Linked DNA regions of Bombyx mori. The protein of the gene in region 6 purifies or fractionates together with the protein of the main gene of each other region. This does not show direct contact. Links are inferred from orthologs where the notes say so. Each region holds a gene or a part of one and is shown on either strand. Other genes may lie near its edges.

Region 1 (4,478 bases), on a different chromosome or scaffold from region 6:
TGTTTATTGAGAAAATTTCTATTTTCTTTTTCTACATCGCCGTTGTCGTCTTATGAGCACAAGCAGCAGTAGTGCTTCTGATTTGAATTAAAATTGAAATTGCCAACTACTCAAGCAGTTAAGTCAACGCAACGAGTAAGTGCAACGAGATTTATCAATGTCAGCTTCAAGCTGTTGACTACGACTGCAAGAGCGGTCCGTGTATATTGATCAATGGCGATCTGCTCGAGTAGCCCGTATATGCCGGCTTTAAGGTGTTATTCTTCGACATTTGAATACTGTTATGTTTTCGAATTTGCTTCATGCGAGATTAAATGGTAAAAGTAGACAGATTTAATTATGTCTAAGATTCGCCTAAGCCGAAGAGAATACTCTTTAAATATTAAGTGTGTTATCTGTGGAAAATACTATATTGTTTAAGTTTCTATTTTGGTATGTAGATATTGATAAAACCGCGTCAAGAAGGATGAGGCAGCATTACCCAGTAAAAAGTTTTAGTTTATCGCGCTGTAGTAGGTAGGTTCCTATCTATTCTTGTCACCTTATGATAAAGAATTGCAAATTTTAAGTATCACTAATTACGTAATTTTGCAAATAAAATAAACTAACAAACATCTAGAATGATCTAGCACCTAAAATATAAATTGATTTTCATTGTAATGTAGTTAAGAAGAACTGTGAGCTTAAAAAATATGACAGACTTACCTAATATACTGAAAAAGCTATTCTTGAAACAAATGAACAACTGTGTTCAAGTTTTTGTTAAAGTAAAGGTAGATGCAGATTTTCAAAACAAAAAGTTTTGACAGGTTATAAAATACCGGACCGTACCGACCACAGGTTTTTTAGTTGGGTTCGTGTATTGGTAGGCAAAGGGAACACAGAGAAATTTACTGTGACAAGAACAAAATTGCTTCTGTAGTGTGAAAAATAAAATGATATTATATATCAAATAAAACAATTCATGCATCTTTACACCATATGTTCACGACAAAAAGTCTGCAGCTTCTATGAGATTTTGATAATTTGATACTTTGTTTATCAATAATCTTTAATTACTAATGAAATTCTACGACTTCGACTAAATTTAGCTTTGCAGCAACTCACAAGCACAGTTTTTTTTGCATCTGTTCATCGAGTCGTGTTTCAGCATGCTCAAAATTTACTTTGTACGTAAATTATACTTCACTCTCAAACTGATGAAAGAATTTTTTATCGTATTCCCGTCTTCTTCTTTCCTTTTTCCTTATTTGCACGAGCTAAGCAGGTGGTGCATCAACCCAACGATAGCGTTTTTCAAACATTCTTGACATTCTTGTTTATAAGAGTTCTTGAATGACTTATCTGGCCGTGTTTCTCGATTCAGTACGACGCGACGCGACGTCTCTTATGAATTATGAATAAGCTGAGATTTCCTCTTTGTTTAACATATACGTGGCGTAATAATCTAATCAATGTAAGTTTCTCATTTCCAGAGTAGAAATAAAATTATTAAAAATATACAAAGATGCTTTCAATCTTAAAGTTAATAACATAGGCCTCTATGTTCCTTTTGCCTATCGAACTAGAAATGACGAAAAAAATATGCCAAAACTGAAATGATTACAAATTGTGTCACATTTCACAATTTACAAGGAAGAATCAAAAATTATTCATAAATAAAAACATACCTTTTAACACAAAAAGTACTAATATCATTAGTATTATTAGATTTCCAAAAAGCAGTTCTCGATAGTTAATTATAATTAAAGCAGTGATGACTTTTGCATCATTGTTAACGCATTATGAAGCGGCAGCATAAATCATGCTCGGCGACGTCCAGTTAACGAAGCGTTTAATAGTGATAGTTGTCATTTTGAGTATTATTTTTGTGTTGAAAGAATTCGTATTTGTTTATCCACTATGACTCAACAAAGGGTAGCGTATTTCTATAATCCGGACGTGGGTAATTTCCACTACGGTCCAGGGCATCCAATGAAACCACACAGGCTGGCTGTGACGCATTGTCTCGTGTTGAAGTATGGTCTTCATAAGAAAATGCAGATATATAAGCCGTATAGGGCCAGCGCTCACGATATGTGCCGTTTCCACAGCGAGGACTACATAGAGTTTCTGCAAAATGTAACTCCTCAAAATATACAGAGTGAGTTGTTTCAATGTGCCCCCGGAATGATTGAAATAAGAATGCAACATATTGGACTAATTTACACTGTCATTTCTAAATATTATATCTTCTTAGACACTTTTGTCTGAGTTGTGGTTGTGCTGAAAATGCATATGCAGAAGTATTTGTTAGGTTGCCCATGTTCCAGAGGATTGCTCTCCTGGGGAAGCACTTTCTTATTTCTATCAAATATTCATACGAAATATGTATATGAAGTTTTTAATTTGAAGTAAACTGCCACTGCCACTTTTGAGTTTTGTGTAAATTAGGTAAATTAGTTTTGAAGATATATACAGTTTGTGAGATTATTCTAAAATACTAAAATAACACCTTGCTACAAAGATTTGGTGTAGTTTAGTTTAAATGGCAGTACAGTTTAACCAACCAGATTTTAAGTAGACTAGGGTTTAAGGGTGGTGTTGTGGTGGTAGCCATCATACATTACCCACTCAGTGGAAGAATTTCCCTTTGTCGTATATCCCTCCATACTGGTGACCCCGACGTGATATTACTTGGTAGACCGACGTTCCAAATGTTGTTGTCCGGAACTTGTATACATGCAAGTTTATTTTGAAAATGTTGTAAGCGAGATTCAGGCATCTGTCAAATATCTTCTGTTGTATGATGGGTACCGCCACACTGCTATTCAAATTGTGATATTTATTGGCTCTTAATTATTGGAGCACAATTGGCCACAACCAGGATGAGGCTTTTGGGCTCGTCCATCAATTTAGAGTTATGACCCTTTATTTCCTATTATAGGTTACTCAAAAGATCTTTTGCACTATAATGTTGGAGACGACTGTCCAGTATTCGAAGGTCTTTTCGATTTCTGCTCAATGTACACTGGAGCTTCATTGGAAGGTGCTATGAAGCTAAATAATAACACTTGTGACATTGCCATCAACTGGTCTGGGGGCTTGCATCATGCAAAGAAATTTGAACCTTCCGGTGATTATTAAATGTTTAAATTACTTAGGGTATATGAACCTCAATTTTAATTATTTCAAAATGAAATTTGGTATTTTTATGCAAAACTGAACACATAATGTGATTTTTTTATAACCTTATGTAACAAGTTAAGCTTAATAAGTGGTGATCTTGTTTTCAATATTAAATAGATTAATTCACTTGTTAAGATGTAACAGAAAGGTTGTTTTTTTTCCAGGATTTTGCTACGTCAATGATATAGTAATAGCAATTTTAGAGCTCCTAAAATATCATCCAAGGGTTCTGTACATAGATATTGATGTTCACCATGGAGATGGGGTTCAAGAAGCTTTTTACCTCACTGACCGAGTCATGACGGTTAGTTTCCACAAGTATGGGAACTATTTCTTCCCTGGAACGGGAGATATGTATGAAATTGGTGCAGAGAGTGGACGATATTATTCGGTAAATGTACCACTGAAAGAAGGCATAGATGATCAAAGCTACATACAGGTCAGTTTGGATGATTTATTATCTTAATTAATAGAATGTTTTTTTTTAATCAACAGTATTTATAATAGTTTTCATCTTTTTTTTTATTGTGTATATGGATGGACCAGCTCACGGCCTACCTGGTGTTAAGTGGTTACTGGAGCCCATACAACATAAATAATGACCTTATAACGGCTGCCCCATCCTTCCGACCGAAATGCTTCACGGCAGAAATAGGCAGGGTGGGGGTACCTACCCGTACAGACTCACAATACGTCTTACCACCAGTAATTACGCAAATTATAATTTTGCGAATTTGATTTTCTTCTGTATAGTGTCTTCTGTATAATATAGATCATTCTTTTAATTGAATAAAGGTATTTAAACCAGTGATCTCCTATGTGATGGAGTGGTATCAACCTACAGCGATAGTACTGCAGTGCGGTGCTGACTCGCTGGCTGGCGATAGGCTTGGATGCTTCTCACTCTCAACTAGAGGTCATGGCGAGTGTGTGAATTTCGTTAAAAACTTAAATGTGCCAACCCTGGTGGTGGGCGGAGGAGGGTGAGTATTCTTTATTATTTAATGATAACTAAATGTTCATAAATTGTTATTGACATGATAAGTAATTTTTTTTTTATTGTTTATTGGTGGATGTGCTCACAGCCCACCTGGTGTTAAATGGTTACTGGAGCCCATAGACATCTACAGCGTAAATGCGCCATCCGCCTTGAGATATAAGCTCTAAGATATCAAGTATAGTTACAAAGGCTGCCCCACCCTTCAAACCGAAACGCATTACTGCTTCACGGCAGAAATAGGCGGGGCGGTGGTACCTACCCGTGCGGACTCACAAGAGGTCCTACCACCAGTAATAATTAATAAAAAATA
Region 2 (4,651 bases), on a different chromosome or scaffold from region 6:
AGATTTCACCCATCTAAATCATATCATATTTGCACATAACAATATACCTACTTACTTCCCATTAAAGTATAAATTCTACAAATAAATAATACTCAACAATATTTAAAATAAAATGAGCCAAGAACGTTTATCGATAAAACCTGATAACATTGAAATCTTTTGTACAGCACTAAAGCCGCCATGTTTTGTGGCCAGATGACGTCACAGTGGCACGAAATTTTGGTTGACGTTTCATTTCCATAGGTTTCCTACTTCATTGGTCACTATGGAACCTACGAGAATAAGTACGGCAGATAAAATATTAAGTAGGTAGGTATGCAGGTAGTCAACTTACTTTGAAAACTTTACGCCTCATATTTGTGCACTTGTATACAATGGATTGTTATTCAAAAAGTTTAAAACCACACACACCACGTCTGAGATAGTTTTTTCTTTTCTTCTCAGTCGTACACTCCTAGCGGAGTGGTCGTGGTTATGTACGTCTTATTTAGACATTTCCATAACTCTCATGCGAAAATAGTAGCAGTGGCTTAATAAAATAAATATAAATAATTAAAATAGTGTTCTGATATAGTAATGCGAGCATGAAACACGAATCTACCTGCCGAGATAAACAGTGGCTAACAAGGTAACCAAGGGCCCCAGGGCAAATAAAAAAATGGGGCCCCACTACTATGTAAGCGGATTAGGTTTTATGAAATAAAAATAATATGAAATATACAAATACTTTAAAAATGCTAAGCTACTTAAGCTCTTTTTTTGATTGCTGACGTGGCAACGCATCGCCATGCACAAGCGACTGTCTCATTTTATTATTGTATTTTTCATATTCCACACCAATTTTCTATTCTAAGCTATCCATATAAACATCTATACTTGTACAAAGTAATATCAATGTTTCAAATCTACAAGCTTTACCGCGATGGCTCGTTTTTTCCTTTCCTTTGGAACACACCATCAAACTCGACTTTGGAACAAACTTGCTTAATTCAGGATGTGGCAAAAGATATGGATGATTTCATCTAAAATTGTTATTGTTATCATCCAACTGATGTTATCAAAAGCGATTTAAAGGTATGGAAGAGATTGCCTTTAAAAATCACATACAGTAAATTGATTTGAATTGAACAGAGTATAGAGAGTTGGATTGGAAAGATAATTTACGGTTTCACATTTATCGTTAGGATTCATATTAGGTGACGAGAAAAAATGGGGTAATTAAACATTGTTAGGTATTTTTTATACTATGTACTATAAGAATATAGTTTTAGCTTTTAAATGCCTTATCTTTCTTCTTTTGCCACGATTATCTTTCATATATTTTTCCTTTCCGACACTCATTTTCTAGAATTGGTTGCGATGAGAACACGGGAAAAAATATGCTTGCAATCTGCCTGGCTTGAGATCTCACACAAGGTTTTCAATTCCAGTTTAAATCAATTGGCTACGTTTCTTTTGCCAGTCTGATCGGACATAACAAAAAGTGACTTTTGACACATTGAAGTTTGAACGAATGATTAATATCTCGATAAATCTTACTGTTGGTAAATTTTCTAACGGCGGCAAACAGTAGTGCTTACTAAACATTTATTGAAATATCTAAATATACATACTTCCATCATTTAAACTATTTTACTTTTACATAAGTTTATCTATAGTTTACAAAATGAGTTTTTCTTTTGGAACTACTACAACGTCGTCTAATACTTTTGGTACACCAACACCATCAACAGGTAAATTCTTTTTGGTTTGATTATCATGTTCCAATTTGAAGCTTTATAAATTGAAATACTCTACAATACGATTCGAACTACGATATATATGTTTTTTTAAACAATAATTAAATTGTCAATGTAAACAATATAACCACACTTTTTTCACGTTAAGATCAAAAAATTAATTAATTGGATGTAATTACAGGATTTTCATTTGGCAGCGGTGACGCTTCAAAGCCGTTATTTGGTGGATCCAACACAGGTACGATGCGTACAAAAACTTCCGGTAACAAATACAAGCGATATTTTAAATCTGAATTTTTCTGTTACAAGTAACAAAAATAGACAGTAAAAATTTAAGGGACTAAGGGAATTTAAGGCACCACTGTTAATAAATCAAGATTTATTAACAGTGGTGCTGGTTTCTTAAACCAAGAGACATGGATATTTTCAGAAAAGATGAAGTACACTCATTAGATATCCAAACATGAATCGAATCCCAAAAGCATATAGAAAATGCAAATAATATTTTTAATCTCTCAGAAAACAAAGCAACATTCAGCTTCACTAGTCCCACAACAAGTGCACCAGTATTTGGCAGTTTTGCATTTGGTGCTAAAACAACAAATGCAGCACCTTCACCATGTAAGTAATGGCCTTTGTTTACTTAACGCTGAATATACTGTATGGTTGTAATTAAACCATAGCCAAAAGACATGCAAAAGATATTTAAACAACTATTAACACTCCTAGCTGACATGTGAAAAATTATTTAAAAAATTATAATTATCCCTCAAAGGGGTTCTTAAATGATCAATATTTCATAAATATTTATTTACACTCAGATCCTATGTTCTAAATACAATTTTCATACAAGTTAAAGTTAAATTAAACTCCAGGAATGAATCTAACACTAAAATAGAATTGACCTACAAATAACAAAATAACATAGTGCTTAATCAAAATTATCACCACACTACTGAATCACAAAATGTAAGAGCCTTGAACCTTTCCTGCCCTACTCTTTATAGACAATGAGAACCTACCTGCTCAAAAAGAGGCTTACATCAAACATTACGAAAAACATTCTACTCATAACAAATGCCTCTCACACTTATGTATTGTATGGCAGTTTCATCTCCATCGACAACGACTACAACTGCAGGCTTTGGAGCGAATAAGCCAACACCCTTTGGAGGTTTCACTTCACCTCCTAATCAGACAGTTGGCAGTTCTGCCTTTGGGCAAGCAACAAATCAGGTGTGTACAGTAATTTTGTTGGGAGCCTGTTAAACAAACTATTCGTCAGTTTGGTGTGATGTCTCCAGCTGCGTTTATCGATCAATACTGTATTTTGCATTTCACCAAATTAAGTGGAAAAAAAATCAGTTATATTTGTAAATTTTACTGGTGGTAGGACCTCTTGTGAGTCCGCGCGAATAGGTACCACCGCCCTACCTATTTCTGCCGTGAAGCAGTAATGCGTTTCGGTTTGAAGGGTGGGGCAGCCGTTGTAACTATACTGAGATCTTAGAACTTATATCTCATGGTGGGTGGCGCATTTACGTTGTAGATGTCCATGGGCTCCAGTAACCACTTAACACCAGGTGGGCTGTGAGCTCTTCCACCCATCTAAGACATAAAAAAAAAAAAAAACAATGTTCTGCCATTGTTAAATTGTTGTGAAAAAAATGATATCTTTTCTTTCTTAGTTTGAGAATGCTTACATTCTACTTATCTTTTCTTTCTTAGTTCGAGAATGCTTACATTCTACATAACTCTTATATGTCGTTCACTGTGCTCCTTTGCATGTGTTAATGCCTTGTAATGCTAGTGAATATTTCACAGAATGCAGGACAGGCCCAGAATCTGTCGTTTGGTGCAACCACCACAGCACCACCGGCATTCGGTACACCTGCCACACAAGGTTGGTTATAAATATAATAATATTATAAATTTATTATTATAATGAATATATAAATGATATTATACTAAAATGACGATTATAATGGTAACACAGCTTAAGACCTGGATTGACAAATATAATTATTTTGACATGGCAGATGACATGGATAATTATAAATTTAAAATTAAAAAAAAGGATAATAATATTGCTTTTGTAAATGCACTAGCGCTCAGCTTTTGCTATTATGAAAATTGGACTTAAAGTTCAGAAAAGTTTTAAGTCATTGTTCCTTACAAACGAAATTTATAATTACTTCACCAGTACGTCTTGCTTGCATCAGTAATAAAGTGAACAGAAATTTTAAGAAAAGGAAATGTATGAACATGTTGTTTTAGCTGCTGCCCCAGCATTCGGTTCCAGTGCAAATACAGGTTTTAGCTTCGGGAAGCCGGCATCAACGACAGCTGGCTTTAGTTTTTCAACACCTACATCTGGTTTCTCAGCACCGCAAGCTAGTACTGTAAGTTTTTGTTACAATCCCAAAAAAGAAATCGTTTTTAGATCATCTCCAGTTAATTCCTTTGTTTGTCTGTTATTTTTGTTGTTAAGTTTAAGGTACAAAGGTAACTATTCTAAATCCAACTTCTGATTACAATAATTTGTTGAAACCAGGAGACAATGTCAGTCTGTATATAGTAGTTACCTAGTTGTAAGCATTAACACTACACTGTTTCTGCTGCAAAGTAATCATGCACTCTGATTAAAATTAAATAGTTATAAAAACTATTTTACAAAGGTAATTGAAAGCCTTATAGCTCAAAGTGTGCTCCAGGAAACATTTAGGATTAGCTAACATTAGCAACAGCTCAAACGTAGCCAGGTTGTGTTGGTATTAGGGCATCTTCCGAGCCCACAAGGATAGGTACTACCCTGCTAATTATCCTGTTTGGAGAGTGGGGCAGCTACTATACTACAGAACTGAGACTTACAGCTGATGCTTCAAAGTGTGTGGTGAAATTTACATTGTTAA
Region 3 (4,639 bases), on a different chromosome or scaffold from region 6:
TGATGGCAAAAAGGGAACAAATCAACGATCAAGGATAATTTTTGAAGATCTTACTGTGGCGAATGTGGGGTTCGAAATTTAGATGAAAACTCCAATTACTCTTCATGAATTTATAAATTAATTATAGGCTATCAGAACTAGTGGTCGTCGTGGCCTAACGGATAAGACGTCCGGTGCATTCGTGTTGAAGCGATGCACCGGTGTTCGAATCCCGCAGGCGGGTACCAATTTTTCAAATGAAATACGTACTCAACAAATGTTCACGATTGACTTCCACGGTGAAGGAATAACATCGTGTAATAAAAATCAAACCCGCAAAATTATAATTTGCGTAATTACTGGTGGTAGGACCTCTTGTGAGTCCGCGCGGGTAGGTACCACCACCCCGCCTATTTTCCGCCGTGAAGCAGTAATGCGTTTCGGTTCGAAGGGTGGGGTAGCCGTTGTAACTATACTGAGACCTTAGAACTTATATCTCGAGGTGGGTGGCGCATTTACGTTGTAGATGTCTATGGGCTCCAGTAACCACTTAACACCAGGTGGGCTGTGAGCTCGTCCACCCATCTAAGCAATAAAAAAAAAATAAAAAAAAAAAAAACTTAAAAATGGTTCCAAATACTGCACATCCATAAAAAAGTCTTTATCAGAAGAGGAAGATAAGGAAGGCGCAGTATTTTTACCACCTTTCCTCTTTTTGCCCTGCGTACTAAATACATCTCTGTTAGATCTGCCTTCAGCAACAATTCGTCTTATGGTAGTATTTATTTATTTATTTATTTATGTGCGTTCCCCTGACGAGTCATTGTCAGGGACATTTTTTATGCTTATTTGCTTTTTTGATAAATTTTATTTTTCACCATTTGTAATGTTAGGTTCGTATTTCGTTCTTTTATAATTTTCGTTTCTCTGCTTATTACTATAACCTGGAAAAACCAAAATCCGGTCGTCCAAGATTTTCGAGAACACTCGAAAACGTAGACAGTGTTGCCCAGTCTATTCGGGACGATCTGAACCTTTCAATTGAGAAGCGTGCGGTGGCCTTAAACGTGCACAGATCGTCGTGATGCCCTATTTTGCATAAAGATTTAAAACTGCACCCGTACAAATTCAGTTGGTGCAAGAATTAAAACTTCAGGATACTGGTCAGAGGTCAATTTTTTCCTGGCAAATTGATCTCCAGGAGAGGTGACATAAGTTGGCCTCCACGCAGTCCCGATTTGACATCTATGGACTTTTTCCTGTGGGGTTATATCAAATCCAAAGTTTACACCAACAAATCGACTTTCACACACAATTAAAAGAAAATATCTATCACGAAAGCCATCACGGAGAACACCTGCCGAGCCGTCATAGGCAATTTTAGTGCTCGATTAAACGAATGCCCTGAACGCAACGGTTTACATTTCGACGATGTCATTTTTAAAAAATAAATTCCAAAACAGTGTATTTTAATATGTAATAAACATTTTTTCAATAAACTCCTTACTTTTTTTAAAATTATATTTTTAAATATGACATTTCCTTTGAGACCCTTCCTTCGTTTTTTTTATTATTCATAAACTATTTTCAATAATTAAAACAGCGAAACATAAAAATCTTTTACTTGACGCTGGCTAATGCACAAACCGTACGGAGCCAAAAATAAAGACGAAGTGTAATCCATAGGTTATACAGGTGTATAATCTACAAATGTCGCCATCCATTTTGTTTCACATTGAAAAAGAACAGGTTTAAGATTCACAAGAGAGACGCTATTTAGTTTTTGGTGATTAATTTTGGAAATATTTGGATTGCTAATAACGTCCAAATATATAATTTAACTAACCATACTTAAAATTTATTGAGTGTAGGGTAATTTTACACCATCAAAGTTGTTTAACTCTTTTGTAATTTGCGTTGTTAATTAAAAAAAGCTATTATTCAATTATCATTGGCTTTATCTCAGTTAACTATTCTACACGCATGTGAGAAAATAAGGAAACCTTAAAGAACTACTTTCACGGTATTTGTATACTGGTGATTAAAGCTTCTTCGACACGATGCCAAAACGTGGCGGTGGAAGGAATAGAAATTGGAAGGCTGATACTGACCATTTTGGTAAGTGGAACACTTTTATTTATATTCTGTTGTGATTTTGTAGTTCCTACAGTGAATTATCAAAAAATAATGTATTCCATTGTTGTTAGCGCTACTTATGTTTAATACATAAAGGCAAAATCATGCATCATAAAGTTCATGATACCAATGAATAATATATGAGTTTTTAAAGTTATTGACTATTAATACTTGATTTACAAATGATATACTTTCAGAACACGATGACCGTGTCAATAGTGTGCCGAGACATGTCAGTTTTAAACCTGGAGCTAAAGGAAAAAATAAATTTCGAACTTGGAAAAATCCTTTAGCCCTCCTTGATGATGATATTGACATGGGTAGTTCTGCTCTTCAAGGACCGGTCCGGAAAAGTTCTTTCAGGGGACGTGGGAGAATGTACTCTCCAGCTCCGCAAGGAAGCCACGGACACACTAAAAAGAAATTTATTCCTGGTGTACTGCCTTGGTACCAAATAATCATTCCATATGGAGCAAAACATGAAAAAGATGTTATCCTCCGAGCCTTGTTGGGTTTTCTTTCACCCGACATATTCATTCCACATTACTATAAAGTCAATGGAAATGCTGCAGTATTCTATGTTGATGATGTCAAAACAGCTGAAAAACTTTATAATGCTGATAGAAAGATCACTATGTCAGATGGTTTTAAGTTAATTGTTATTGTGAGGAATGCTGTTCCAAACATGGCCATTGACGCTGCCATGAAAGAGAAGATGAAATTGACAATGGCGAAGAGGTATAATGCTACAACTAAGGCATTAGATTTAACAAAATTCCATGCTGATCCAGGTGATTGTCCAATTATATTGTTATTGCTTTACATATTCATTATTTACAATACATTCATTGCAATGTCTAAAATTCAACTTGTTAGTAAACAGCTTAGTAATACATATTATAATTTCTTTTTCATTCAATTAGAGATATAATAAGCTAGACTTTTGGGAATAATTTCTTATGGGCCCACATAAGCTATAATCTATTTAAGAGCGCATACTGGTTTGCCCTTTTATAATGCAGCAATGTAACAACAATATTTATAACCAGTTATTTTATAGAATGTAAAGACAATAGTTTTACTGGGTGAATATTGAAATAATACTATTTTTCAGATCTAGAAGATATATTTTGTGCACTGTTCCGTCCAATGATAATGTTGGCTGCTATAGATATAATAGCAGAGAATATTCCAGACATAGAAGCTTTGAACCTAAATGATAATAAGCTTCATGGTTTGCAGCATCTCAAGGTTTTGTCTTCAAAGCTCAAGAATTTGAAAATATTGTATATGGGCGATAATAGGGTAAGACAAATACATTTACGACAATTTAGACCAGTGTAAAATTTCAAATGACTGATTCATATTCATATCATCATCTTCAGTGCACATTCCTATCTAGGCATAGTTTGAATAGCCCCACAAGCTAACAGTAATTAGGTAGGATACAAAATCCCTATCTACATTTGACAAATAAATTTGTGGTTTTTTTTTTCTTTATTATATACCCCAACTAACAATCTTTGCAATTAATTTGTTTTCACATGCACTATATCTGATTGTTAAGGTAGACATTTTTCTCAATTTTGTGTAGTGTAAGTATTTTTCTACTAACTCATCATTTGCATTACATTAGTAAAATATAAAATAAATGTAGTAAACGAAAGACATCTTTAAAAATATATGAATGCTATTAAAAAACCAATAATGTACATTAATTATCATTTAAACCTTTTCCAGATTCCATTCCTTGGATCACTGGACCCAATCAGATCATTACCGCTAGTTGAGCTATACCTCAAAGGAAACCCACTGGTGAACAGGTTTCATGATCACGAAATCTACATAAGGTAACGCTAATGTTGTAGACAGTATCTTTGGGGTCACACCCCAAGATATTTTGAATATCCTATAACACAGTTTACCATTAGCGTTAAGCCATGGAAACTTGACAGCTATATAAAATCAAACTGTGGCAGTACTGTTGCTGAATTGTGCTTGTTTAAGTAGATGAAATGAGTAAAGATGTTTTTTATCATAAGTTAAATTTGTGATAACATATATTATATTCCTATACTGTTTATAACAAAATCAGTAAAATATCCCTTAATAAAATATACTTATAGTTGACTAATCTTTTTAAAAGACATAATTTTACATAGCAAAAAATTGGCAGGATAATTCCATAAAATTTCTTGGGAAATGTCCCAACAGACAATGAGCCTTCTTATTTCCATATTCCCCTGACTCACATATTTATCAGAGTATTAAAATAATTGATACAAAATAGTAACATTTAAAAATATTTACCTAGGAATAGGTCACTCACAGCATTATATGTAAAAATGGCCCAACTGTTTAGTAATCTTGGAAGAGTTTTAGTGCAGTGGTATGAGACATAATATCAAATATGTGGAATAATTTAAAATCAGACTCATCCCCATTGTACATTGCTGTTATGAAATTATATTAAAATTATTAGTACTTGGGCTTCACTAAGGAAATTGGGTATTCTATTGCTCAT
Region 4 (3,898 bases), on a different chromosome or scaffold from region 6:
CCCTTCAAACTGAAACGCATTACTGCTTCACGGCAGAAATAGGCAGGGCGGTGGTGACTATCCGCGCGGACTCACAAGTGGTCCGACCACCAGTAACTACTACCAAATAAAATGAATAAGAATTTGTGAACGCAATGGATTTAAAGAAAATATAATACCTACCTCAGATTCGACCATTCGACCCAAGACATCACCACCCAGAGTGTATTAACTACAATTTCACTCACACTATTTTTTTATTGCTTAGATGTGTGGATGAGCTCACGGCTCACCTGGCGTTAAGTGGTTACCGGAGCCCATGGACATGTACAACGTAAATGCGGCACCCACCTTGAGATATAAAGTCTCAGTATAGTTACAAAGTTACAACGGCTGCCCCACCCTTCAAACCGAAACGCATTACTGCTGTACAGAAATAGGCAGGGCAGTGGTACCTACCCGTGCGGATAAGAGGTCCTACCACCAGTAAATATTTACTTATATTCAATTATTATTTACCAATATAGCAACGCAGCTCTTCGGGCGGTGGAGCCAATACTGCTTACGCTGACGGCGTTCGTATGGAGGAGATCGTGGAAGGCGCCGTTGGAGCCTTGCATATTTTAGCCAAAGAAAGCCACAACAGACAACTTATCCGACAGCAGAACGTCATTCCGATATTCGTGCAACTGTTGTTCAATGAGATTGAAAATATTCAGGTTCGTGTTATTCTTCTATTGGAAACTTTTAAAACTAAATTTGAAATAATAATAATATAACACTTTATTTAACGCTATATGTACAGAGTAAGCATATAAAACAAATAATAGTCGGTGACATAAATTGGCGGCCTTATCGCTGAAAGCGATCTCTTCCAGGCAACTTTGCAGGGAGAGGAATAAGCGAACTGGATTGTGCTATATCTTAATAAACTTACATTAAAATATATACTTATATACACATGAAATGTGGTACTTATACTCATATGAACTTTGTAAACAGCGCGTTGCCGCCGGCGTGCTCTGTGAATTGGCCGTAGAGAAAGAAGGAGCAGAAATGATCGAAGCCGAAGGGGCAACCGCTCCGCTCACTGAATTGCTGCATTCAAGAAATGAAGGTTGGATATTAGTATAATACTACTAGCTTTTGCCCGCGACTTCGTCCGCGTGGAATAGTTACTTTGGCATAACGCTAAATCTTACTCGCCTCTTCATTTACGTAGAAAGGGAAAATGTTTTTGATAAAATAGAATGTTTTAAATGGGAACAATTTTGTCATACATTATTTTAGCGTAACTTTAACCGTTCCCGCAGCGCATTCTTTATTGGTCTTAGCGTGATGTCATATAGCCTATACCCTTCCTCAATAAATGAGCTATCTGACACTGAAAGAATTCAAATTTCAAATCGGACCAGTACTTCCTGGGTAATCACGTTTAAACAAACAAACTCTTCAGCTTTATAATATTAAGTATAGATGTATAATAAACACGCAGCTCAGCAGAAAATTTGCGAATATGTTTCGAGTAGATGTTATTTCAATGAATATGTATTCGCTCTCGATTTCGAAGCGAAACTGGGGTTATCAGAATAGAATCTTTGTAAATTTATGCCTTAACATAGTGTTAAAATCTATGATATTTCCTTCGATAGACCACATTCTCCCTTTAATCTTTACATTATTTTCTCATACATTTAGGTACATGTCTTTAAATATGTTAGTAAATTTAAAACAGTAATAATTGAAAACACCAGATAGTAACCAATTTTTATTTTATACTGAACAATCCTTCATAAGAACTTTGTGTGTTATTTATTTATTTATTTAGACACACCAACAGCAATACACACAAAACATTCAAGCTTAAAATTAACATGTATAAAATTAAGTACTGTATGTAAGTCAGTTACAGGCATGTACAGCAATCTCTTATAACACATTATGACATGTTACAGCAATTTTACAAACAGCTGAAAAATAGGCTAAATTTTAATGTTAACAGTACGACAAAAAACAACAAAAAATTAAAAATAATATGAAAACAATAGTTAACTACTTAACATTCTCTCATCAATTATAAACAAAGGAACTTTGATACTAGTTTGTTTTTGAGACCAGGACACGTATCGTTAAAAATGTCGATGCCGTCAATTAATGCACATATTTGGTTATATTTACTACCAATCTTTGATAAAGGGGAATATTTAAGGAGGTTTGTTCTACTTGCGGGAATATGGAAAATTTTAGTGATGGAAGAAACATGTAACATTGTTAACATATCTCTGAAGGAGTTGATGTGTGAATATTGCAGGGGTCGCCACGTACGCTGCAGCCGTTCTGTTCCGCATGTCCGAAGACAAGCCCCACGATTACAAGAAGAGACTCTCTATGGAATTGACTAATTCGTTGTTCCGCGACGATCACCAGATGTGGTCCAATGACCTTCCGATACAATCCGATATACAGGTGAGTTTGGTCGGTTATAACTAGGAGTGGGTAATATCGGTTTTGCCGCGTATCGAATCGTATCTATATATCGAGGATCAATATCGGATATTGAATCTATATATTTTCTGAATCTATATATTGATGGATGCTAGTAGATTTTCTCGATTCATGATATTTGAGATTTGAAACGATACGCTGATATAATATCGTAGTAGATATAGATTTAAGTCAACGTTATACGGTTGGTTTTCTGATATCAATTTATAATATGATCTTAAAGTAATAAAAAGAACATGAAAATAAAAATATCAAAAAAACTTTCTTTCATGCTTTTACCAGGCTTAGGACTGGCTACATTATTTTCAGTTTTTAGTATTTTGTGTCTTAATTTCAAATTACAAAATATACCAAAAGAGTGTAGATTTCAAAAGTTTAATACAAACACAAGAAATAAACTCAATTATTTGGATTCAACTAAAAATAAAAAAATGTGTACTTTAAAAATCAAACACAAAAAACTTTTAAGTATTTATAAACACTTGTCCAAAAATTCTAGTTCAAGGTCAAAGCGCGTGAAATTAAATTCAACGATGCAAATAGGCTATACTGCATTCAAGTTAGGGTCGAAAGTTGAAACTTCTTTCCTTAATTGTATCCTGCTGATACGCTAAGAATAATCTACAGACATATGGACTTAAATATAAGGTTTACAATTGTATGGATAATGCCTGTTTCTGTTTCATTCATCACATGATATCCCTATCGTGCGCTCACTCACTCTGGCCGATTCGATACGAACCAAACGAATATTGCCGATATTCACGAATCGGTACGATATGCCGATGCGCATCACATCGAGCAATATCGTGTATCGGCTGATATCGATATATGGATTTCGTGCGGAGCGATATCGGATTCAACGATATTGCTGCGATATATAGATATTGAATCTATATACGATTTATATCACCCACTCCTAGTTATAACTGATATTGGTGCTTAAGTGTTGCCTTGTCGAGTTTTTCGATGTCTATGAACTAAGTCGACGCTTGAAAGGCAAACATGACTAAGTGACTTTAGCAGTAGGCAGCCGCTTGGCTCTGCTCCTGGCATTGCTGAAGTCCATGGGCGACGGTAACCACTTACCATCAGGTGGCCGTACGCACGTCTGCCAACAAAGGCAATAAAAAAAAAACGACAATGAGTGAACTTTACAGTAGACTAATTTAAAGTTGAAATACCTGAAAAATAATCTATTTTAACAAATCTAGCTGTAGGATTGAAATTATTTTAATAGACCTAGAAATATATTTTTTTGCGCATCAAATACGGTTATTGCCTATCATTTATGTACAAACCAGTTATTGTCGATTAGTCACGTTTGCCTTTCAAGCGTCGAAGTAAGCTATTGTCTTTATTTGATTTTTATTTATAGTATTTATTTCAGTTGAAATTTATTAAATAAAACTAA
Region 5 (4,328 bases), on a different chromosome or scaffold from region 6:
CACATAATGAACGTGTATTTAAAGTATCTATGGGTTTGCAATGCATGTTTTATAAGAATTTTAAAAGTTACGAAAGGAATTAAAAGTGATTTTGAATTTTGGTTTAAACATTTTTAAGTCTTGAAACTTTTTGATGGGTCCATGAAAGCTAAGAAGACGTAAAAATTTGTCTAGATCTGATAAAGTCGCGAAAGCAGTTTGAGTCACTTTGATTCGACACATTCGATATGAAATTGAATCTGAAAATTATTTATTTCGCTTCGAAATACATAGAAAAAAATCGAACTGGTCTGGATTCAAAATATTATGCACCTGAAGCTACAATAAATATGGGTGCTATTTGGACTATAACCATTAATAGCGTTAACTAGAATTTTCTGGATTCAAAATATTATGCACCTGAAGCTACAATAAATATGGGTGCTATTTGGACTATAACCATTAATAGCGTTAACTAGAATTTTCTGGATTCAAAATATTATGCACCTAAAGCTACAATAAAATATATGGATGCTATTTGGACTATAACCATTAATTGCGTTAACTAGAATTTTATTAAGACTGAGGAGCTAACGTACTATTTACAAGACTAGGCAAAAATGTAGCCAAGGCATAGAAGGTATTTAATATGTCTGAAAGTTTGGCAAAATTTATAGTAACAACAATTCTACAAATCGTATAAAAAGGGTGGAACCCAATACCAAGTAGGTGATGTGATGCCTATTACGGTCTAGAAAATCTAACTTGGCTTTAAGGCTTCAAAATGCATAAAATGATCCTAATATTCTAACCCTAAGATCCTAATATTCTTGGAATTGCACCATCATGAGCATGTCAAACGTGTCATTGATCAGTCTGTTCTAATATTTACCATTATAGCTTTCAAGTGATGGTACCCACCCGCGCGGACTCACTAGGGCCGTTTTCCAATTACAGCACAAGAGCGCATTATGCGGCATAATGCTCAACCAAGCTTCAGCATAATTCGGCACTGTGCGTCACTGAGTCGCATTATGATTGGAAAACTACCATTAAGTAATGGTTAATTACAGAGCATAATGCGACTCAGTGACGCATAATGCCGAATTATGCTGAAGATTAGTTGAGCAATATGCCGCATAATGCGCTCTTGTGCTGTAATTGGAAAACGGCCAAGAGCTCCTACCACCAGTAAATATTGACCATCATTTTACTAAGATTATATTTCATCCCATATCATCTCATCTCATTTAATTTCATTTCATTCCAGTTGATTAATGTCTTAAATTAATCATCTTCATTTCATTTCACTCCATATCATTTTGCATAAAAATATGAATATAAATTAAAATAAAACATGACTTAAAAGTCTTAGTTATCAGGTCATAAAATCCCTAAAAAAAAAGAAAAAATGAAGAGGTTATGTTCGTACAAACCTGCTGTTATTGGTCTACTGTGAAAAGCATTTTTCTTTAAACAGTGACTAGAAACTAAATTTTGTGTCGCGTGTGTTGAGTCTAAATGAAGATGGAATACTTTGCTCCAGAAAACGCTTCTTTAAGCAACAATACACGAATGTATGTATGAATAGGAGTTTTAGTGATTTATGTAAATATAGGATTATTAAACACTATTACACTTCGAATAGTTTCAAGAGCACTTAGAAAATAAAATGTCTATTACAGATTGTGCTGTCAGTGTGCTGTACCTATAGAAGCAAACCCCTCAAATATGTGTGTAGCTTGTTTAAGGGCTCATGTAGACATCACAGATGGAATACCCAAACAAGCGACATTATTCTTCTGTAGGGGTTGTGAAAGGTAATATTATCTGATTAAGACAGAAAGAAGTTAAAAACGTGGATAATTACACTGAATTTGAAACTGTGACAGTAAACAGTCTTACAATTTGTTCTGTCGTTATATTTTCTGAGAATCAGCTGTACTTACTATTAAGTACTATAATTTAGATCTTCTGGCAGATTCTCTATATCTATAAGGAGATGGTGAATAATTTGCTTCTTGCACTTATTTCACATTATATGACCCCTTATAATGGCATGTGCAATGCGGCAGCCCACTATGTCTTCTTATCATGCTGCATAGGGCATCAATTTCACCAGAGATTTGCACTGGCCGTCTGCCTGACGTTAATCCTCGTTTGGGTTTAGCTCCAGTAGCAAATCCATTGCAATAGCGAGAGACTTTCTCTTTCTTCTTTTGATGTTTTATAAAATAAATATTAATGAAGTCAGTAAACACTTGTTGATTATTTATAAACGTGAAACTCTTCACAATTTTGCATATCATCATTGAAAATATATGTAATTTTCAAGTTATATCATCAAAATTTTTTTTTAGATATTTGCAACCACCCTCTGAGTGGGTTGTGTGTGCATTAGAGTCACGTGAACTCTTAGCTCTCTGTCTCAAGAGATTAAAAGGATTGAGCAGAGTTAAGTTAATTGATGCTGGTTTTGCTTGGACTGAGCCACATTCGAAGAGAATAAAGGTATTTTGATGATTTAACTGTCTTGAACTGTCAAATATGTTGTTTGCATATATCTAGAAGTATCCAATAATAGTGAGAATACTTCCTATCCAGTTTTAGAATTAAAGTGAGAAAGGTTTCAAGTAATGATTAACATTAATTGTATTGATTGAGAATAAAGAGTTCAAAATGAGTATTAAAATTCATAAGAAAATAAAAGTTAAAATAAAAGGAAAATATATTAAACAGATATTATCAATATGTTTCAGTCAGTCTCAAATATATTCACAAATGTAATTATTAAATATAAGGACAATATTGCTCATTCAATCTACGTTGTCTGAAATTACTGGTTCAATAATTAAAAATTTTCGCATACATTTTGCAATATTGAATATAAATAAATAAGTATCCAAATAGATTACCATTAACATTCCCAAATTAAATACATTTCTTTATACAAACAATAATACTTAGCCATTAGTGTATGGTCCAGGGCAACATTTATTTGGTATTGAGAATGGTTCTCATTCTAAGACTTAAAAAGAATACAACTAATATACTTATGAATGCTGTGTCACCAGCTTACATTGATATTATGTAACAGTGACCAAACAAAAATATTAAATATAACTTTTTTTGCTAAAACTATAAATGCAGTAATTGTTATCAGATATTTTGAAGGTTTTTTTTAAATTATTTCTATTTTGATGTTGCTATTAAACTCTTTTGAATTTTAGGTAAAACTAACTGTACAAGGCGAAGTTATCGGAGGAGCAGTGCTCCAGCAGACATTTATAGTTGAATTTACAATTCAACATCAAATGTGCGATGCTTGCCATCGTTCAGAAGCTCAAGATTACTGGCGTGCTTTAGTGCAAGTACGACAAAGAGCTAATAACAGGAAAACATTTTACTATCTTGAACAATTGATATTGAAGCATAAGGCTCATGAAAATACTCTAGGGATCAAGCCCAAGCATGGTATGTAAAGTTTTCTAAAACTTGCCTTTTATCACAATAGAATGCACAAGATTTATCTGTTAATTAGCTTTTGCCCGCGACTCAGTCCGCGTGGAATAATTACTTTGGCATAATGCTACATTTTACCTGCCTCTTCATTTACGTAGAAATTGAAAATATTTTTGAATTATAGGATGTTATTTATTGGTGCTTCACTTGTATTGGCCTTACCGTGACGTTAAATAGCCTATAGCCTTCCTTAATGAATGACTTATCTAACACTGAAAGAATTTTTCAAATCGGACCAGTAGTTCCTGAGTTTTGTGCGTTCAAACAAACAAACTCTTCAGCTTTATAATATTAGTATAGATTGGCATATTGTTATGGTATTTTTAGAACTCTTCAGATTTGTAGAATCAATACTGTAGCTGATTTTCCTTATAAAACATGGGAAATAGATTATTTCATAAAACAAAGCATCACTGGTAGCCAGTGATTTGATATTGTCATTGTCATAGCTGTTCATCATAGGTGAGGGCGATCACTTCAGACTCTAATGGCGGTAAAATAAAGACCAAACTCTAACACTAGTGTGAATACTGATATATAATTTTAATCTATAAATGATATTATTGATATGAAAGAACCGATACCACTGTTTTCTCGGCAAATCTAATTATGTTTATTGTCAATTATCATATTTTTAAATAATTTCAGATGGACTAGATTTCTTCTATTCAACAGAGAATCATGCGCGCAAAATGGTTGATTTTATTCAATCTGTTCTGCCTATAAAATGTCAACATTCCAAGAAACTAATTTCGCATGACATACATAGCAATATATACAACTACAAATTTACATTCAGTGTGGAAATTGTACCTCTATCTAAGGAC
Region 6 (4,612 bases):
AACAGTTTGATTTTCAAATTAGCTTGCGTGTTTTTGTTTTCTACCTATGCTGATATCCTTGAGAGGCTATTTCAGCTTCTCCTTGTAGTTTAGCTCACGAGGCTCAAACCGGTAGTGTTGCCAACACTGGCCCTAGCAAGTTGAGTGATGGTATTTACTATCTTCTATGAGTTTTATTATAAATTAATCTTTCGAACGGTCATGTAAAGGTTGGGTACTTAAAAATTACAAAAATAATTCAGTCGCTACTGAATTCAGTAGCAAGGATGGTTTCTGACTGACTAAATCATTTAGAAGCCTAATTAGAAATGCATCTAGGAAGGTGTAATCGCATTTAGTTACTTAATGGTTTCAGTCGTCCCATAGCTCTCCGTGCGTAAGAACGTTTTAGTTTGTTTTTTGCTTCCGAATAAAAAGTATTGATTTCGGTCGCCTTTATTTAATGTGCCAGACATTTATAAATAGCCCGACATGTTTCAGGAATAGTTTTTGTCATAAAGGGTTGGGATATTGAAAAACTAAATTTTAAATCTTGATACGTATTTCCTGTTGCAAGAAATCTTCATGTTACAACCAATCTTTCTTTTGGACTTATAATATCGTAGGATTAGATATGTAATAGTTATAAAATAGATATATAATAGACTATCGTAGGATAATATCCTGCTTTTGAATAAACGGTGTCACAAGTTTTAATATTAGGTCAAACGAGATCGAATCCATTTATAGATAATTTCTGAAGTCTGCTGGTTCTAAATCACTCTAATGTTCATATTTGCTAACATTCCGCACAGCAATAAATATTTCTTTACCGATATTCTTGTTTTTTTTTTGAGAAATTGAAATAAAAAATAAAAACAAAAAATTTGTTGTTGTCTAGACAATACTGGGGCCATCCTCTTACGCACACGACACGTCTTACTTCGTCGCGCTTAAACTGACAATTGATTCAGTAACTGAATTTAAAACAGTTTAATCAGAAGCTTCTAAATTTGCTTCTGAAGTCAGTCGACTAAATTCAGCCAAGTGTAATAAGCCTTTAATCACAAAATACCATAGATAAAAAATACCATAGATACCAAAAACTAAAAAAAATAGTTTATTTTTCACAACTTACAATGGCAACATAAAAATTATATAAAAAATATTAGCATACAGCCTAGCAAGTGAGATAAAAAGAAGTAATATCTCAATAACTTGTGGTTAAATGTAATTGTAGTTGGTGTTGGTTGGTGTAAATTTGCTGAAACTTAACGGACTTGAACAAATGAGATGGGAAGCTACACTGACTTAACTTGACTTACAACTTAACTTCACTTAACTTAAAAAGTCCATATTTCTGTTTTTGAACCCAAATTAGCAATAGAATGAAGTGAATAAGTTTTTCTTATTAATTAGCTTTTAATTTTAAATTTGCAGAAGATTTCTCCACTAAATTTTAAAAGAAATCACATTGAGTAAACTGTAGTCAATGCAATGCAACGTTCAACAGGAGTTCCGCACTAGTATTTTCTATGACCATAGACTAAATGTGTAAGCTTTTTCAAGCTTCATGAAAACAACGGATTAGTATGTATGGTAGTGCGTTAGATTGATTGCGCCGCAAATTATTTTCTCGGGTAAGTGATTCACTTTTTAAGTTATTGAAAAATTACAATTCTAACGAGTATCCCTACACTTAGTACACGTTTTGTGATTAGTGTAATGAATGTACTTGTAGTAAAATCTGCAACAAGATTGCGGGGTGTGTGCTCTATTTAGTGGTTTTAAACAATTAATGATGTAATTGCCCAGTTTGTAGTTAAATGCTTAACCGAATTATAGTATTAAAAGTAGTTTTTACTAGCATAATTGTTAAGTCGGTGTTTGTTAAACAAACAAACAATTAGGATATGGAGGTTAGAGTCAGTAGAGTCTGTTAACACAGAGTTTTGTTTCATTTTCAGTGTTGTATAAGGTGAGGAATGAATGTGGATTAATCAAAATAATTTTGATTTTGGAAAAAAGGGAACAAATTAACTAAATAAATATATTTTACCAGAATGGCAACCTTAGAACAACAGGCATCTAAACTTTTGGATTTCAATCAAAAATTGGACATCAATTTATTGGACAACATTGTTGGCTGTTTATATTCTGCTGTTGGGGATCAACAACGTGTTGCTCAGGATATACTGACTGCTTTGAAGGAACATCCTGATGCTTGGACTCGTGTTGATACAATACTTGAATATTCTCAAAATCAAGAAACTAAATATTATGCATTACAAATATTAGAACAAGTAATACTAACGAGATGGAAAATATTACCAAGAAATCAGTGTGAGGGTATAAAAAAATATATAGTTGGCCTTATCATTAAAAATTCATCAGATCCTGTTACGATGGAAAGCAACAAAGTTTATTTGAAAAAACTAAACATGATCCTTATTCAAGTTCTGAAAAGAGAATGGCCCCATAATTGGGAAACTTTTATCAGTGACATTGTGGGTGCCTCAAAGACGAATGAAAGTCTCTGTCAAAACAATATGGAAATATTCAAGTTGTTGAGTGAAGAAGTATTTATGTTTAGTACAGGCCAGCTCACACAAACAAAAGCTAAGCATCTAAAAGATACAATGTGTTCAGAATTCAGTCAAATCTTTCAGCTATGCCAATTTGTCTTGGAAAATTCACAAAATGCACCTTTAGTTGGAGTGACCTTAGACACTCTTTTGAGATTTTTAAATTGGATTCCACTTGGTTATATTTTCGAAATGAAATTGATAAGCACATTGATATTTAAGTTTCTGAACGTGCCGATGTTTAGGAATGTAACATTGAGCTGTCTTACTGAAATTGCCGGTGTCACAGTCAGCAATTATGATCAGCAGTTTGTTTATTTGTTTGTACAAACTATGGAACAACTTGAAGTTATGCTTCCTCTAACTACAAACATACGTGAAGCATATGTAGCTGGTCGAGATCAGGAACAAGTTTTTATTCAAAATCTTGCACTTTTCTTATGCACATATCTAAAAGAGCATGGTCCGCTCATAGAAAAGAGTGGATTAACAAACACTTTAATGAATGGTTTGAGGTATCTTGTCTTAATATCAGAGGTAGAAGATGTAGAAATTTTCAAAATTTGTCTTGAATATTGGAATGCTCTTGCTGCTGATTTGTACAAAATTGCGCCATGTTCGTCAAACTTGTACCATTTGGGTAAAAGTGGAGGCCGAAAAGCTTTGTATGCTGATGTCTTGAGCAGTGTTCGGTATATTATGATCTCGAGAATGGCAAAACCAGAAGAGGTGTTAGTTGTTGAAAATGAAAATGGTGAAGTTGTGAGAGAATTTATGAAGGACACAGACTCCATTAATTTGTATAAAAATATGAGAGAAACATTAGTTTACTTGACACATTTAGACTATTTAGATACTGAACGTATTATGACAGAGAAATTACAAAATCAAGTAAATGGTACTGAGTGGTCATGGAAGAACTTGAACACATTATGTTGGGCAATTGGATCTATTTCTGGAGCTCTATCTGAGGATGATGAAAAGAGATTTTTGGTTATTGTGATTAAAGAGCTTCTAGGTCTCTGTGAACAGAAAAAGGGAAAAGATAACAAAGCTATAATTGCTAGTAACATAATGTATGTCGTAGGACAATACCCACGCTTTCTTCGTGCACATTGGAAATTTTTAAAAACCGTTGTCAATAAACTTTTTGAATTCATGCATGAAACACATGATGGTGTCCAAGACATGGCGTGTGATACATTCATAAAAATTGCTATAAAATGCCGTCGACATTTTGTCACTACTCAAGTTGGAGAAGCCTGTCCTTTTATTGAAGAAATATTGGGCACCATTAGTACTATAATTTGTGATTTACAAACATTGCAAGTTCACACTTTTTATGAAGCTGTTGGATACATGATCAGTGCCCAAGTAGATCAAGTAGCCCAAGAACTTTTAATTGAAAAATACATGCTTCTGCCTAATCAAGTTTGGGATGATATTATATCTCAAGCTTCTCGTAATGTTGAAATCTTGAAAGACCCTGAAGCTGTTAAACAACTTGTAAGTATACTGAAAACAAATGTGCGTGCATGTCGTGCACTAGCACACCCATATGTTGTGCAATTAGGAAGGATATACCTTGACATGCTTAATGTTTACAAAGTAATGTCTGAAAATATAAGTCAAGCCATAGCTTTAAATGGCGTAGCAGTTACTAAACAACCTCTCATTAAGAATATGAGAATAATAAAAAAGGAAACTTTGAACCTTATTTCAAGTTGGGTTACACGCTCGATTGATAACAGTATGGTTTTGGAAAACTTTATTCCACCTCTTCTCGATGCTGTGCTTTTGGATTACCAAAGGACTGCTGTTCCTGAAGCTCGTGAGCCTGAAGTACTGTCTTGCATGGCAGCAATCGTGCACAGACTTGAAGGACATATAACTTCTGAAGTACCAAAAATATTTGATGCAGTCTTTGAATGTACTCTGGAAATGATTAACAAAGACTTTGAAGAGTATCCAGAACATAGAACAGAATTTTTCTTATTACTGCAGGCGGTCAATACAAACTGTTTCAAAGCATTTTTGAGCATACCACC
Region 7 (3,364 bases), on a different chromosome or scaffold from region 6:
TATCTGTTTGTTGTCAAGCCGTCTTATGTTAGTTCTTATACCACAAGCACATTTTCATTGGGACCATTGCTCAGGTTGTGGCGATACCACTAACCGACAAATATTCATTTATCTCCTAATGCACGATCATACACAACTAAATAGTTTACGCTGAAGCATAGTTTTTTTTTAAATTATCATTCTTATAGTCTCTTATGGAGGTCGATTGTTTAACATAAGTAGTTAGAATACTGCTGTTAGAGTCTTATAGCTCATTAGCGAATTTTGATAGTAAAACAAAATAATATTAGAATCTGCAGTTTCAAGACAAGAAATGCGATTCTAAATATACTAATTGTGTCTTAAAAGCTAAAATGGATTGTGGAAAATATTAATTATTGACGATACAAAGAAAATGTTTTAACGTCTGAACCTTGTATTAGAACGGTTAATATGAATTTAACCGGAGAGTTGCTAACACTGGCCCTAGCAAGAGCAGTGCTTCGCAGAATCTACCACCGGATCGGAAACGCGACCCACTGAGAAGATCCGGCGAGAAACTCAGTGGGCTGTGTCTGTGGGTTAGTTAGTTTCTCTCCGGTTGAGCCCCGCGAGCTCACCTACTAACGTTAGGGCGAAGCTGAAATAGCCTCTCAAGGCTATCAGCATAGGTAGGAAAAAAAAAAAAAAAAAAATGAATTTAAATAATAATTAAATGTAAAACTTTTGATACGAATTTCGGGATATTTCTTAAAATCTTTTACACATGAGTCTATCGTCACGACAGAATAATGTTCGCATGCACACGTCAGACGAGTTAATGATATCGGCCCAACCATCGCCAGTGCCACTGACATGTCACCACGAGAGCCCTGTACAGAACTAAGCCCAAACTGTCGACCATATTGCCAAATTACCGAATGACGTCCAAAACACTAATTCTTAGATACGATCGAAATAATAACAGGATCCCAAACTATTGACCTTCAGGTCACTTCACAAGATTCATCCGACGAGGATGCAATCAAAGCTACTTCTACAGTTCTCGTGGTCGTCGCCCGTGACCAGCTGCGATGGAGAAAATAACAATGTCAATGGACATGACAATGCAAACGTACTACAATAAAAGTAGTTTTGATCGCGTCCCCGGCTCGTTGAATCCGTAAGAAACAATTATAAGCGAAACTGTTGACTGATTATTCTTTTTAAGGCTTCAATACGCAAAAATCAAGTTAAAAATGTATTTTTTGATATCAGACTAATTAATAAATTAGTGATATAAGATTTAATTCTACTATTGTTGTTTAGTTGTAATTAAGACTTTTTAAAAAATCGATCTAAAATAACAGTTCCAGTTACAGATATTAACTCGTCTCGACAGATTTAACTTATCTTTGATCGTGTTTTTAGTACACAAATTTTCACTGGTGGTAGGACCTTTTGTCAGTCCGCACGGGTAGGTATAACTACCCTGCCTATTTCAGCTGTGAAGCAGCCGTTGTAACTATACTGAGACCTTAGAACTTACATCTCAAGATGGGTGGCGGCATTTACGTTGTAAATGTCTATGGGCTCAGGTAATCATTTAACACCAGGTGGGCTGTGAGCTCGTCCACCCATCTGAGCAATAACAAAAAAAAGTGTGTATGTGTGTGTAAGTCCCACACGGTACAAGTGAAACTTATAAATAAGATATAGATAACCTGAGTATCCCACTACACAGGAGCGTACATATGGACAATGTTTAGTAGACGATAGTGGGGATGCCACGAAGAGTCTAATGTGTTCTATCTCATTCTCTCGCCGGCTAAATCCTATACAATCATGTGTTTGTGTCTCTATGGACTTATTTTTTCGTTTCATCGAGTTTGAAATCACAACGTTTCACTTCAATAATCAGTCAACCGTTCCGATCTGTAACGTTTACAATGAATGAATGTTTTTGTGGCTGGAGTTGGGTGCCGTGGTGGGCGACGTCGCTCAGCAGGCGGGCGCGTGCGTGCCGTTGTGCGGGTCGGGTTGCCTGGCGCGCGGCTCCGGCACCTCGCTCTTAGACTCTTCCTCAGGTTTCGTTTCTCTTTCGTCTGCCTCGTCTTCCTCGGATGATTTCTCTTTTTGTACCGCGTCTGTTGTAAGCCAAACAATATATATATATATATTTTATTGCTTAGATGGGTGGACGAGCTCACAGCCCACCTGGTGTTAAGTGGTTACTGGAGCCCATAGACATCTACAACGTAAATGCGCCACCCACCTTGAGATATAAGTTGTAAGGTCTCAGTATAGTTACAACGGCTGCCCCACCCTTCAAACCGAAACGCATTACTGCTTCACGGCAGAAATAGGCAGGGCAGTGGTACCTACCCGCGCGGACTCACAACAGTTCCTACCAACAGTATATTATTTATTATATAATAAACATGTATAGTAGAGCGGTATTACACCAGTATTTACACAGTGAAGTTCCACGCTAAAGACACTACTTTTCGTTGACTCGTTACTGGCGGTAGGACCTCTTGTAAATCCGCGCAGGTAGGTACCACCACCCCGCCTATTTCTGCCGTAAAGCAGTAATGTGTTTCGGTTTGAAGGGCGGGGCAGCCGTTGTAACTATACTGAGACATTGTAATTCATATATATCTCAAGGTATGTGGCGGTATTTACGTTATAAGTGTCTATGGGCTCCGGTAACCATTTAACGCGAGACAGGCTATGAGCTCGTCTACCTATTTATGCCATAAAAGACAAATGTTATTTCGTTACTATTGGACCTGAAGACTGTGGTACTCATGTTGCGGTGCTCCCCATACCCCGCGTCCACTCTGCACCCGCAGTTATTATTGTCTAAACAATTCCCAAGCTCACCGAACTCAACCCCTGACCTTACTGCCCCAGTTTTGTCGGTCGGGACGCGACTACTAAATATCACTCACCAGTTTCATCAACCTCCATGGGAGTCTCTTTCTCATCTCCGTTCACTTTCTGGAAACATAACAAACAAACACACAATCATTATATGACATATAACAGCACAATATTACTTCTAGTAGATATCAAATTTTAGTTCAATTTTACCGTGTCAATAAATATGAACCGACGTTTAAAAGAAAACAATATCAATATGTTGATTTTTTTTTATTGCCCTTGTAGGCAGACGAGCATACGGCCCACCTCATGGTGAGTGGTTACCGTCGCCCATGGACTTCAGCAATGCCAGGGGCAGAGCCAAGCTGCTGCCTACCGCTTAATACTCTCCACAAGCCACGTTTGAAAAAGGACATGTCATAGCGCTCGGGAAACACCTTGGAGGGGAGCTCATTCCATAGCCGGATAGTACGTGGCAAAAAAGACCTCTGGAAACGCACTGTGGATGACTGCAGTGGTT

Evidence for each region.
Region 1: the proteins of exportin-1 (region 6) and histone deacetylase 3 purify together in Homo sapiens (affinity purification with western blotting; 3 studies listed by BioGRID, with this or other methods). This does not show direct contact. The link is inferred for Bombyx mori from reciprocal best matches to the Homo sapiens genes XPO1 and HDAC3.
Region 2: the proteins of exportin-1 (region 6) and nuclear pore glycoprotein p62 purify together in Homo sapiens (affinity purification with western blotting; 4 studies listed by BioGRID and IntAct, with this or other methods). This does not show direct contact. The link is inferred for Bombyx mori from reciprocal best matches to the Homo sapiens genes XPO1 and NUP62.
Region 3: the proteins of exportin-1 (region 6) and nuclear RNA export factor 1 purify together in Homo sapiens (affinity purification with mass spectrometry; 3 studies listed by BioGRID and IntAct, with this or other methods). This does not show direct contact. The link is inferred for Bombyx mori from reciprocal best matches to the Homo sapiens genes XPO1 and NXF1.
Region 4: the proteins of exportin-1 (region 6) and armadillo segment polarity protein purify together in Homo sapiens (affinity purification with mass spectrometry; 3 studies listed by BioGRID, with this or other methods). This does not show direct contact. The link is inferred for Bombyx mori from reciprocal best matches to the Homo sapiens genes XPO1 and CTNNB1.
Region 5: the proteins of exportin-1 (region 6) and 60S ribosomal export protein NMD3 purify together in Homo sapiens (affinity purification with western blotting; 3 studies listed by BioGRID and IntAct, with this or other methods). This does not show direct contact. The link is inferred for Bombyx mori from reciprocal best matches to the Homo sapiens genes XPO1 and NMD3.
Region 7: the proteins of exportin-1 (region 6) and regulator of chromosome condensation purify together in Homo sapiens (affinity purification with mass spectrometry; 3 studies listed by BioGRID and IntAct, with this or other methods). This does not show direct contact. The link is inferred for Bombyx mori from reciprocal best matches to the Homo sapiens genes XPO1 and RCC1.

What each region holds. Positions count from the first base shown.
Region 1 is NC_085122.1:11,622,172-11,626,649, forward strand, and holds the start of histone deacetylase 3, read left to right. Parts: upstream 1-1,577; 5' UTR 1,578-1,902; coding exon 1,903-2,143; intron 2,144-2,926; coding exon 2,927-3,115; intron 3,116-3,332; coding exon 3,333-3,607; intron 3,608-3,963; coding exon 3,964-4,151; intron 4,152-4,478. UniProt on the Homo sapiens protein: Histone deacetylase that catalyzes the deacetylation of lysine residues on the N-terminal part of the core histones (H2A, H2B, H3 and H4), and some other non-histone substrates.
Region 2 is NC_085134.1:6,717,733-6,722,383, forward strand, and holds the start of nuclear pore glycoprotein p62, read left to right. Parts: upstream 1-1,489; 5' UTR 1,490-1,666; coding exon 1,667-1,733; intron 1,734-1,920; coding exon 1,921-1,977; intron 1,978-2,258; coding exon 2,259-2,360; intron 2,361-2,847; coding exon 2,848-2,975; intron 2,976-3,563; coding exon 3,564-3,642; intron 3,643-4,016; coding exon 4,017-4,141; intron 4,142-4,651. UniProt on the Homo sapiens protein: Essential component of the nuclear pore complex. The N-terminal is probably involved in nucleocytoplasmic transport.
Region 3 is NC_085124.1:4,529,518-4,534,156, forward strand, and holds the start of nuclear RNA export factor 1, read left to right. Parts: upstream 1-1,654; 5' UTR 1,655-2,039; coding exon 2,040-2,097; intron 2,098-2,312; coding exon 2,313-2,906; intron 2,907-3,229; coding exon 3,230-3,420; intron 3,421-3,855; coding exon 3,856-3,965; intron 3,966-4,639.
Region 4 is NC_085116.1:12,310,767-12,314,664, forward strand, and holds part of armadillo segment polarity protein, read left to right. Parts: intron 1-506; coding exon 507-698; intron 699-981; coding exon 982-1,096; intron 1,097-2,290; coding exon 2,291-2,445; intron 2,446-3,898. UniProt on the Homo sapiens protein: Key downstream component of the canonical Wnt signaling pathway.
Region 5 is NC_085115.1:7,001,405-7,005,732, forward strand, and holds the start of 60S ribosomal export protein NMD3, read left to right. Parts: upstream 1-1,369; 5' UTR 1,370-1,500; coding exon 1,501-1,556; intron 1,557-1,664; coding exon 1,665-1,799; intron 1,800-2,339; coding exon 2,340-2,490; intron 2,491-3,209; coding exon 3,210-3,453; intron 3,454-4,149; coding exon 4,150-4,328. UniProt on the Homo sapiens protein: Acts as an adapter for the XPO1/CRM1-mediated export of the 60S ribosomal subunit.
Region 6 is NC_085118.1:10,175,565-10,180,176, forward strand, and holds the start of exportin-1, read left to right. Parts: upstream 1-1,459; 5' UTR 1,460-1,619; intron 1,620-1,946; 5' UTR 1,947-2,042; coding exon 2,043-4,612. UniProt on the Homo sapiens protein: Mediates the nuclear export of cellular proteins (cargos) bearing a leucine-rich nuclear export signal (NES) and of RNAs.
Region 7 is NC_085130.1:7,886,255-7,889,618, forward strand, and holds part of regulator of chromosome condensation, read right to left. Parts: intron 2,962-3,364; coding exon 2,913-2,961; intron 2,106-2,912; coding exon 1,960-2,105; 3' UTR 1-1,959. UniProt on the Homo sapiens protein: Guanine-nucleotide releasing factor that promotes the exchange of Ran-bound GDP by GTP, and thereby plays an important role in RAN-mediated functions in nuclear import and mitosis.